2 linked regions of the Coturnix japonica genome follow. The protein of the gene in region 1 binds, or shares a complex with, the protein of each later gene. Links are inferred from orthologs where the notes say so. Each region holds a gene or a part of one and is shown in the gene's direction. Other genes may lie near its edges.

Region 1 (5,778 bases):
CAAAGTGATGTGGAGAATGCTTCTCTGATTCCCAGTTTGTAATAGGCTTTGGCACACTGACCCTACAGTCTAAACATAACTGCATCAGATGGTTTCAGCTTGTGATTGTGTCACTACTTAAGATCTCTCAACAGAAGGTAATTTGGAAAAGGGAAAAAGAGTTTTGATAGTAACTTTCTATCCAAAACTGTAACTAGATTTTTCTGGCAATGATTTCAGCTACCACTCCTTAACTGTACTGTCATTATTTTAGAGTAGTTCTGTTCTATAGACACCAGAGGGTGATCTTTAAACAATTGCTATCTCTGCAGTTGAGCGTTTTGGAGCCACTTGAGGTTTTATATTGCTAATGAGAAAAGAATTGCAAATTTTTCAATGAAATCTCCGACCTCATTCATTTTGTGTGCAGCATTTAATTAAAACTAAAATTTGCCTGCAAAATCTGGGTTTAGGCATCTTTTGGAGGAACTATTGCAGACTGAAAAGATTTGCCAGCTCTTAACATTCTGGTTTCTCTTTTAGTGTGATTTTATTCTCGTATCTGAGCATTGCTCCTTTTCCCTTTGAGAACACTTGCTTTGTTTCAGGAACAGACACGATGCTCCTTGAAGACTATAGCTCAGATGGCCCTTCTCTTCCACACTGTGTCTGTCCTCCTAGAAGAAGGAGTTCAGTGACATTTGAAGATGAAGTAGAGCAAATTAAAGGTGGGCTTAGGGGTAAGTATGAAAACGCTCAGAACAAAATACCTTCTTAGGAAGCCTCTCGGGACCTTTAGAATTGCCTGAGCCTGTATCATAGAATCACAGAATGGCCTGGGTTGAAAAGATTCATTGATCTAAATAGAATTGAGTTTTTTCTGTTTTTGTTCTTAACTTTCTTGACTGGGCACGTTTCTCAGTAGATATGGCTGGAAATGGATGAATCTGCAACTTTTTTTTCAGTCAGCTCATGTTGATCCTGCGGTAACAAAGTGTTACTGTGGGGACCTGTAAGTGTTGTGAGGTTAGCTTAAGGTAGGCTGATAGTTGTGGGAGTGTAAGCTAGAAGTCTTGGTCATGAATGACTGAATTTACTGAGTAATAAGTTATTGTGGTCAATGCACAAATGAACTGAGTACCTCAAAGCATCGAGTACTGATAAAACCTAGCTCACTTTTACAATTAGGAAATAATAAGAGCGCACATAGATCAGAATCATAGAATGGCTTGAGTTGGAAGGGACTTCAAACATCAGTTAGTTCCCTCCTGTTGTGGGCAGGGCTGCCACCCACCAGCTCAGGCTGCCCAGGTTCCCATCCAACCTGGCCTTGAACATCTCCAGGGATGGGGCACCACAGCTTCTCTGGGCAGCCTGTGTCAGCATCTCACCACCCTCTCAGTGAAAAATTTCCCTGATATGTAATCAAAATCTCCCATTTTTAAGTCTAAAACTGTTCCCCCTCATCAGATTCAGAAAAACATTCAACATGCACTTGATTGGAAATTAAACACACACGTATAAACACTTTGTTTCATCAGATTACATTTTTTTTGCCACCTGAATTGGAGGGAATCTTTCTCTACTTAACCTGTGTTTGAGCTGAAGCTTTGAGCTCACTGGATGGTTTGTAAATACTGGGTGTTCTTGGTAAATGCACGTTTACAAATGAGTTGATATTGAAGCTTTTGCACGGCCAGGCTGTCTGTTCTTATATACTGCTCTTTGTTTTTTCCCTTTCAGAAACCGCAAAGAATTCTGTTCTTCACGTAAAAGCCGATGTTCATAAATCTCTGGACAGCTACGCATCCAGTTTAGCGAGAGCTATTGAAGCTGATGTGAAAATCAGCTTGTTTGGGGAAGGTGCTTTACCAGGAGCTCTGTTTCCAGTACGGACTCTGCCGGGAAGCGGAATGAACACCCGGCGTGGCGTCAGGCCCCATGCCAGCCAAAGGCTTCAGCTTCAGAGCATCGATGAAGGGAACATTTGACAGAAGGAAAATAACTGAATGAAACCACTAAGCAGGACCTACCATGTGTGTTACTGTTTTAACAGAAACAGGATACCTCGCTGGGATGTTTTCAGTGTTTTTTGAGCACTTGAATGTCAGTTGAATTCTGGTACTTGCATCAGCATTTTGCAGCAGTATTTACTTATTGTTTAGGGTGCTATTGGACTCCTTTTTGCCACATCTTAAGCCTGTCATGCGGAGCATAGGAACACAGAGTTTGGTTTTGTCCATTGAATCACATTGTCTCGTTTTGGCCATAGCTGACACAGAATGAAAAGTATGTGCAGTGTTTAATAATTGTAGCGATCCTTTTCTGAACATTCAGATCATCCATTTGTACCTGATAGCTCAAGTGTTCTGATGAGAGCTTATACATTAGTTACTACGTGCAGCCTTACTGTCAAGATTCCCAAATAACAGCATGGATTTCACTAAGGGACAACAGTTGAGCTTTACAGGGAGCTCATATACATTATGATTCTTCTTACCCTTGCTAGCAGATATTTCTGGCCACATGTCAGACTGCTAGGTATGAAACCTAATTGCGTATTGCTTCTGCTTAATGAGACACCAGCTTCTCCATATGCAATGGGTGGAAGCAGGCCAGCATTGGAAGTATCACAGAAGTATTAGAGAAAGACAGCATTGCAGAGTTCTTAGTTTCTTTGAGAACCGCAACTCTCTTCCCTGCTTTTGCTTTGACTAAAAGACCACCCTACAGCTTCAGGAATCTTGACAGGACATAAATAAGTTATTACCACTTTAATAATATGTGCAGGATTCATCTTTTCTATAGAAGGAAATTCTATGGGTTATTTTTTAATGTAGAACTTCATAGTTACCTCAGTGCGTATATTTTTCATTAATCTCTAAAATAAGACCGTTTAGCACTTACATTGCACCTTGCACATTCTAAGCACTGTACGGAATGTACCTTGTTAGGCCTGTGTGAGAGGGCTCATCAGCCCTGCTTGCCAAAGAGGAATGCAGCAATGGTTGAGCCAGAAATGAAAGCAGCTGCAAGATGGAAAGGTTTGTTATGAAAAGAAGAATGAAATGGATCTTATGAGAATACCCAGCGTGAGGAACCTCCCTGTGCCTTCCTAGCCTGGACCTTTTCTTCCTTTATGGAAGTTACTGCCCTGCCTTAATGTTTATTTCAAGGAGATGGATCAGTAGATATCCATTTCTTGAGTCAGTTTCTTGTGTGTCAGTAGCAAATGGACTTATGGACCAAGGGCTGGATTTACTCTGTGTCTATTCTCCTGCTTAAACTTGCTCAAAGGCACAGGAACAAAAATAAGTTTTGAGGCAAAGCCTCAGGTCTGTACTGATTTTAGACATCCTTTTGGTCCATCTTCTCAACTCAGAAATACATTTCAGCACAAGCTTACATCTGTCTGTGGATAGAGCAGCCTATCTTTGAACTAGCCTCAGTCCATGACATTCCCACATAAGATTTAATTGCATGCTTAAAATTCAGTACATGGTTTGCTGATTAAGAACGGGCTCTTAAAACAAGAACGCTTAAGTACCGTAAGATGGCTCTTTGAATAATGCAGAATGAAACGAGCTGTGGACTGGATGGAAAGCTGATGTTCTGAGCAGCAATGGTGTGTACCAGCTTCACACTCCTGTATTTTTTTTCACTTTCTGTGTGTTAGGTATGTTGGCACTTTGGGGCACTTCAAAATCCAGATCCCACTGTTTGCCAGGAAATGCCATGCACTGAGGTTGTTATTGCTATCATTAATACTGCAATTGCAGTTGTTCGTACTGGTCAGTGCTCCTTAAGGTACGTGCTTCCCTCAGAGGGCTCAAAGTGTTCTGTCTGCATCCCTTTTTTTTCACATTCCTGCTTCCAAACAAGTTGAGCTCAAGTGTCTGTGAATGCAGAAAGGGCAAAGGTGGGTGAAGACCGTGCTAGGCCAAAACTAGAAGGGTATTTAGGAGCAAAAATTTTCATGTCATGTATGAATGCACAAAATCGCCTGTGTTTTGTAAAAAGGACATTTCTCACAATGACGCTGAGCCACATTCAGTCTTCAGGCTGTTCACACCAGCACTGAATTGGGCTCTCAGTGTTCATTTCACTAATCCATTATTTAGTATGACCGTTGTTAATATTTTTGCTAATGAAATTATAGCCTCTGCGTATTTCTGTTATCACCAGCATCACTTTGTCATAAGTTAACGCAGTAATGCACACAGTTTGTACGATTGTATCCCCCTGTCTTAAATACAGAAGGAAAAAGTTTCTAATGGTCCAAGATGTTTGTTTATAATTAATTTGTTTATAGTTGATTTTAAATTAAAGCTATTTAAAATGCTTTCATGTAAGAAGAAATATATTGAGCTTAGTGTATGAACTTGGCAACGCCCTCTGGTGAAGAACATATCCCTGTGTAGGAAGGCTGTGTGGCGAGCCCTAGGCTCTTGGAGACTCAGGAGGAACACGAAGCTTAACAGTAAGGCAGCTTTCTCAGCTGAGAGGCATAAATCGGGGCTTCCTTTCTTATTTAAAGACAAGGCGTGTTATTATGGACACACAAGCGAAAATCAGGCGGTTTTTCGAGAGCTGGAGAGCCTGAGGAGACCATAGGGGAGCCGGCAGTCCCGCCCCCTTGTCCGCGCCAGCCAATAGCAGCGCCGCTTCCTCCCGCCCTGTCGAAAAGATGAACTGAGCGAGGGGCGGAGAGAAGTCAGAGCGCCGAGCTGATTGGCTGTTCCGTCTCGTTTGGGCGGTCCATCAGCAGGCTCTCGTTGTGATTGGTCGGTTTGCAGGGAGGGGGCGGGGCTGTTGTGCGGCGATGGAGGCGGTTGTGTGCGCTGAGCACGGTGAGGGGCGGCATGGCAGGGAGAGGTTGGAGGGAGGTTGTCGTTGTCGTTGTGGTGTCTAATTCATCTCGCTCTCCGCCCTGCAGGCTCCCTCTGCCTTCTGAAGACCGGCACCCGCGATGGCCCCAACAAGGGGAAGAGCTTTTACGTGTGCGGGACGCAGGCCCCGGCGCCGTGCGGCTTCGTCGTGCCGGCTGAGTGCGTGTGGGGACCGCGGGGCTGAGTGAGCTGCAGGCCTTGGGGTGTTGGATACAGGGTAATTGGGTGTCGTGACAGGAGATCTGGGCTTTATTTTCATCGCTAAATGGTCTTTGAGAAGATTCTCCGAGTGTTTTGTCCCGAGTCAGTCTTGGGGCTGTCACTGTATCTTTGATGGATTGTGTTTATTCTTGTTTTCCTCGTTTCAGCGTTCCTCCTTCGTACTGTTTGGTCCATGAGGGGTGCATGGTGGAGCTGCAAATCCTGGTTGAGCAGCAGCTCAGAGATGAGTATCAGTAAGTTCCTCCATTTGGAAGCTGAGATTGGCTGTACACATGTGGATATCTGGAACTGTGTTGGGATGGCTGACCTGCACGTCCCTTCTACAGCTAAAACATGGCCTCTGCTCTTGAGGCCTTCGCTTAGTCTTTTCAAAATGCTCGGGTTTTTTATTAGTGAATGGGACCCTGGGCAGCCTGATCTGGCAGGTGGCAAACTAGCTTGTGGCTGGGGGTTGGAGCTTGATCTTTAAGGTCCCTTACAACCTAAGGCATTCTGTGATTCAAAACAATTCCCCCGTATCCTAAGGAAGTATATTCAGAGAATGATAATTGGGTAGCAAGCTTTGTTACCATCATTCATGAGTTTGGTTTGAAAGACTCAACGTGAGCCAGCAGTGCACTCTGGCAGCCCAGAAAGCAAATGGGATCCTGGGCTCCATCAGGAGAGGGGTGGTCAGCAGGGATAGGGA
Region 2 (5,983 bases), on another chromosome or scaffold:
GGCATATTTTCTTTTCCTTTCAGTTCATATCCGTGGGAAAGTTCTTTGAGAAATACAGTCAGGCTTTTAGAGAGGTATGTTTTCAACTGGTCTGTGTGTGTGTGACCCTGGTGTTAGCAGTGAGTCACATTGCCAGGCAAGAGTTCACTGTTGTTTCCTTCTTTCCCACTGCAATTAAATAAATTCCACATGCACACCATAGTAAAAAAAAATTTAAAATAAATAAATAAATAAATAAAAATTAAAAAAAAAAACCACACTTGCCAGTTGATAAAGAAATTGTGATAATACTGTAGAAGGATGAGTCAGTCAGTGGGATATTCACTGCCAAACAACAATGCTGAAATTCAAGAAAGGTTCTAAGTCATGCAGGCAGTCAGGGAAAATGAGCCATCTGGGCTCACACAGAATGTAAGAAATGGGTGAAAGTGAGGGAGGAGAACCTGCCTATTTTAGCTCTGCATATAAAATCCCATTTTTATATCCTCGTTATTGCTGTTCTAACATGTCGTAGGAAAGAATTAAAGCTTGAAAAGATCTTTAAAATCATTGGAGAATGTGGTACCCTTTCTTTTTCTAGTTCAGCATATGCGTTTTACTGAGTTTTGGACTGAGTGTTGTGAGGAGCCAGACTACTTAACCTCCACATCATGCAGTTTTGTTTTCAAGTTGTTAAGCTGTAGTTGTATTCAGGGGAAACATCAGATGGATGTAGTATTTTCTGAGTGGACCTCCCAAATTGTGACACTGTACTGCATTTGGACTGTCTGTGAGTACTACCTAACAATAAGTGTAAAAGCACTATGTTGAAGCAGTGCCTGGGTGAAAAGCTATTTGGCTCAGAAATTAGAACCACAAGCAACATAAGTAAAGCTCTGGGTTCATACATTTAACGTTTCACTGATGCATTACTTTGCAGCTGAAATCTAAACCAGAAAAGGTACTGAAAATGTGCTGTACTAGACAGGATTTTACGTATCTAAATGCATGTTTATTTTTCTTCCAGCTTTTTAGAAAGAATCGACAGCGTCAGCATGGATGACTACACACCCACAGATCAGGTTAGTGTAATTAATGTGATAAGGGCTGAACCAAGACACCCATTTATACAGATTCTTTGTGTAATTTGGTTTAGTCCAAACAGCAGCTGAAATGCAGCAAACCACATAATTACAAAATGCAGTCTAGCTGTTTAAATAATAGATGTTAAAGAAGAAGAAGCTTTTCAGTGTTGTAGGCTTGTGTTTTACTGTTGCTATATGTAGGTCGTGATTCCTGTAATACATCTGTTATTTCTCCTTGCTTTCCATTCTGTGTCCCACAAACAAAGCAAACGGAAAACATAAATGTAGAAGCCTACAGTTTCCATCACTAGCCTTCGCCATGCAGTACCTGTATTGTATTTCAGTGATGGAAGTGATGGAAGCCAAGAAGGAGAGGTGTCCAGTGTCCAAATTCAGGGGGAGCACCAGCAGCAGGCCTTAGGGCTTCTTGTAGTCGACCTGATACAGGATAAATTATTAAAGCCTTCCATACTTTTTCAAACAAAAGTGGTTGCGTTAAGATTTACTCCATGTAGACCTTGACGTTAGCATCAGTATCACTCTGCTGAAGGGAGACGTCATCAAAGCAAAGCCTTGTTTTTCCTTTTGTTATTTATTGTAGTGTTGCCCTGTTTGTTCTTGCAGGGTCTTTCTCTACCTTGAGCAGTCATTCATCATAGGAGGATTTGGCAGTGGCTTCATTATTCAGCTGTCTCAAAATTTTTCTTGATGTTTTCTTTGGGAAGAAATGTCCTTTGTCTCCAAAGATCAGAAGAGGACTTTGGTATTTGACAGGCAGAAAACTTCTCCTCCAGCAGCAGTACTGGGTAGTCAAGGTTAAAAAACTGCTGGTGATGGTGATGGCACAGAGTGAGCCGGTTACTTGAGATGTGCACCATAAATTGCTTCTGCCTGCCTCCTTTGAGAACCTAGGAAATCATTGTTTGTTAATTATTAGAAAATGCCATTTAAGTTATAAAGTACTGCTAGCATGAAAAATAAGAAAGGAATGCCAGATTTACCTGCAACCTAGATTCTGTTCCCTTGTGCACTGTAATAGAGCTTTAATTACTTAGTCACAAGCTATTATTTCGATAGGATTCCTGTCTCATTCAGTACAAAGGAGTGCAGAATTAATGTTGCCTGGGCAACTGTAAATCTGGAGTTTTCTTACAGCTGAGTACTTGACTTTACAACAAGGCAACGTATTTTCTTAGTTTTATGTAACTTCAGAATTCATTATCCACGTCACATATAAAATTGTGTGCCAATAATAGATACCAGTGTGCACTAAAAAGAGCGTGCATATGGTATTCACAAGCTAGATTCAAATATGATGTTTGTATATCTACTGTGTGAGAATGGACACATAGAGGTATACCAGCAAGTCTGATGGAGCTCTAATTAAATGGAACGTACCTTTTCATGGAAAATACTATAGCGTACATTTAGAAATAAAATTAGAATAAAAAAGAAACTAATCAGCTTCCATGTTCTCATTTTCAGGACCTATTACGATGCAGAGTTTTGACATCAGGGATTTTTGAAACAAGGTTTCAAGTAGACAAAGTAAATTTCCAGTAAGTCTCTTTGTAATGGTTTATGAGTGTTTTACTAATCTTAACAACTCAGATGTCTGTTTTCATGTCTTCCTGGTGTAATCAGGCATAGGGTGAATATCAGGGTTGTTTGGTTTAGTTGGGGTTTTTTAGCTGTTTCCCTGGATCCCAGTAAAATTCCCTTATACTTCACTGAAAAAATAAAAGGTGGTACTAGTCACGTATTAGCGCTGCTCTGCTGTGGGGCCATTTTTACTAATTCATTCATTTAGATAGCACTGCCAACTCATACTTTTGGGGTGAGATCTCGCAGAACATGGTGTCATTCCACAAGACACAGTTTGAACACTGGGACAGAGTTCAGTATATCCTTCTTTCTTCTCTGTCTGGAGAGCTGCAAGCTCTGTGTTGCGCAGTATCTCTGTTGAGGTACTGCCAGGCTACCTCCACACTGGTTCTCATCCAACAAGGTGTCAGTGCTGATGGGGGACAAGCTGCCTTTGTGTCCCTCTCCTTGAATGCATGTACTCTCTCTACCACACTTCAAAGATGATGAAACCTCTGCTTGTTCATAGTACAGTAGCCCCAACTGTCTATACCATGTGAATTTCTCTACATGACAAAGGCCAGTGCTTTTCTCACTATATGGATTTGGTGGTATTCTTGCACCCCACTGTCAGTACAAGCTGGGCGACAAAAGGGTAGACCACAGCCCTGCCAAAAAGGACTTAGGTGTCGTGAATAGGAAGTTGGATATGAGCTAGCAGTGTGCCCTTTCAGTGCAGAAATACAACTGTATACTGCGCTGCATGGCCAGCAGGTCAGGGGAGGTGATCCTGCCCCTCTGCTCTGTGCTGGTGAGACCTTACCTGCAGTATTGTGTTCAGATGTGGAGTCCTCAGTACAGTAGAGAGATATGGACATGTTGGAGTGCATTGAGAGGAGGGCCACAGTAATGATCCCAGGTTTAGATTTTACTGTATTTTACAGTAAGGCTGGTATGGCAGTGGAACAGGTTGCCCAGAGAGGTGGTGGATGCCACATCCCTGGAGACATCCCAAGGTCAGGCTGGATGAGGCTCTGAGCAGCCTGATCTGCTGTAGGTGTCACTGTTCAATGCAGGGGAGTTGAACTAGACGACCTTTAAAGGTCCCTTCCAACTCAAATGATTCCATGATTCTCCCAGGGGAAGCAGGGCAGGTGGAATGGGGCAGTGCTCTGGCATGCAGCACGGCAGCCGCAAACCTCTCTTCCCTACAGGCAGTTATTTTACTGCCACTATTCTCAAAGCTGCCAGATTCATAAACTGAACCCTTGTGCTGCATGCATGCTTCATGTGACTTTCCTAATGCACATGAGTGACATAACATCCTATGGCTTTTTAACAGCATGTTTGATGTAGGTGGCCAAAGAGATGAGAGAAGAAAATGGATCCAATGCTTTAACGGTAAGTAGAAATGTTCCACATCTTTATTACGAATTTGCTTTGTGCAGAGTGAGCAGCTTAACATTCGTATTTTTTTACTTACGCTGAGAACATAGTGTGTCACTAATACGGAAGTCCAATTTGATAAATATTTTCTTGAGGCCTTTGGGGCAATAGGGGAGTAATGGCCATATTACCATGAGGAGTATGTGCTGGGATAACAGAAACTTCCTTTCTCTCTCCCTTCTTTCTTCTGTGTGCCTTGTCCAGATGTCACGGCTATAATCTTTGTTGTGGCTTGCAGCAGCTACAACATGGTAATAAGGGAAGACAATAACACAAACAGACTACGGGAATCCCTGGACCTTTTCAAAAGTATCTGGAATAATAGGTAAAGTACACCTCTTTTCTTCTCCCACTGCAAATTCAGCGACATTCCCACTCCCTATAGATTTGGATTTCTTTTAGCACGTGGTCAGACTGACTATTCAGAAAATGCCCAAGGCAGGGCCAGGCCATGCGGTGCACCCACAGTGGCCAGAGTGATGCATGGATGTGTAAACAAATAGTGATATGAATCTGTTCCTAGTGGCGAATAAATAATACCAATACACAGAAATTAAGTTTAGAAAGCTGTGTTGTAAGGCTGTTCATTTCAGTGATATCTACTGGAGATTTTAGAAATGTATGCACAGATCTTATAAATACATCTATCAGCCCAGGTAGTCATGGAGATAATAGTTCCAGTTCCGTTTTTTCTTTTCTCTTAACCGAGTTCTAAATAAACACCACACACAGGGACAACCAGTGCATTTTCCATTGGTTTGATGTGTTCCCTTTGATAAATGTGTCGGAGATAACCCAAACATTTGGTTTGTTTTTGACAGGTGGTTACGGACCATTTCTATCATTTTGTTCTTGAATAAACAGGACATGCTGGCTGAAAAAGTCTTGGCGGGGAAGTCAAAAATTGAAGATTACTTTCCTGAATACGCGCATTACACTGTACCTGAGGATGGTAAGATATTTCACCACTTGAGGGATTTGGCAAGCTGGGATAGCCCATTCCATAGCCTGTCCCTCTGTCTCACACACACACACACACACATGCAAATTCACAAATGCACACGTGCTGTTGTTCAGCATGTGTGAGGTCAGGCGGCTGCTCCATCCTGTGCTGCCTGTGCTGCTGAGTGGGGATCGGTGGGTTCCGAGGTCATAGCGCATGGACCACTGCTGCCCCAGCCTCAGGATGCTCTGGGTGCTGGGCGGTCTGGCAAAGACCTAGCTTACATCCTCCTTTTCCCATCAACAGCAGCTTAGATTACAGAATTAAAGGTAATAATGAGGTGTGTGCAACTTCCATTTAAGCTGAAACACTGAGAGTGTGATAACGATTTTGAAGTGCAGAGGATAAACTTTCCCCAAATCTGAGCTAGGCAGACACTAGTTTTATAACCCTAAGGGTTTCAGAAATCCTTGGTCACTGTCACATGAATCTCTTTGTACCAAGCATAGACCCCATAAAAACTGAGAGTTTGGGTAAATTATTAAAAGGAACATTTTCCATAGTAAGCAAGTTGCCCGAATAAGGTAGCTTTTCATTTTTCTTAGCAGGATTTTGCAGTGCATAATCCTGAGTGATCCAGAATATCCACACATGAAGCAGCTCTCTGTCTTTAACCCATGGTTGCTCATTTTTCCCCTAATTTAAGACAATGTCATTTAAGGACAGAAGCACTGAACTCTAAGATGCCGCTGGTTATGCAGCTGCTCTCTGTTTACCCCTGCTGCTCCAGATAAGAGTAGAAAAAATTTCCATATTCAGATAAATCCTGTCCTTTATCACATTACGCTTATAAGCATTTGATGTGGTATCTTCGTCAAGGAGAAACCACACCAAAGGGAAGTGAATAGATTCTCTCTTTCCTGCACTGTTTAGTTTTCACACTTTG

Evidence for each region. Proteins that work in one complex are often made in the same cells at the same time.
Region 2: the proteins of GPR161 (region 1) and GNAL are in contact, whole or in part, in a cryo-EM structure (PDB 8KH4), measured with the Homo sapiens proteins. The link is inferred for Coturnix japonica from reciprocal best matches to the Homo sapiens genes GPR161 and GNAL. Residues at the interface, in NP_001254539.1 of Homo sapiens: Arg125, Ala128, Val129, Leu130, Pro132, Met133, Tyr135, Pro136, Met137, Ile139, Ile211, Val214, Ala215, Lys218, Ala219, Lys267, Ala268, Thr271, Trp327, Asn328, Lys329, Arg332; in NP_001135811.1 of Homo sapiens: Ala41, His43, Lys203, Val204, Phe206, Phe363, Cys366, Arg367, Asp368, Ile370, Gln371, Arg372, His374, Leu375, Gln377, Tyr378, Glu379, Leu380, Leu381.

The regions. Positions count from the first base shown.
Region 1 is NC_029516.1:75,372,597-75,378,374, forward strand, and holds the end of GPR161 (G-protein coupled receptor 161), read left to right. Parts: intron 1-587; coding exon 588-719; intron 720-1,722; coding exon 1,723-1,970; 3' UTR 1,971-4,261; downstream 4,262-5,778. UniProt on the Homo sapiens protein: Key negative regulator of Shh signaling, which promotes the processing of GLI3 into GLI3R during neural tube development.
Region 2 is NC_029517.1:87,709,880-87,715,862, reverse strand, and holds part of GNAL (guanine nucleotide-binding protein G(olf) subunit alpha), read left to right. Parts: intron 1-1,006; coding exon 1,007-1,061; intron 1,062-2,549; coding exon 2,550-2,623; intron 2,624-3,990; coding exon 3,991-4,049; intron 4,050-4,298; coding exon 4,299-4,419; intron 4,420-4,915; coding exon 4,916-5,046; intron 5,047-5,983. UniProt on the Homo sapiens protein: Guanine nucleotide-binding protein (G protein) involved as transducer in olfactory signal transduction controlled by G protein-coupled receptors (GPCRs).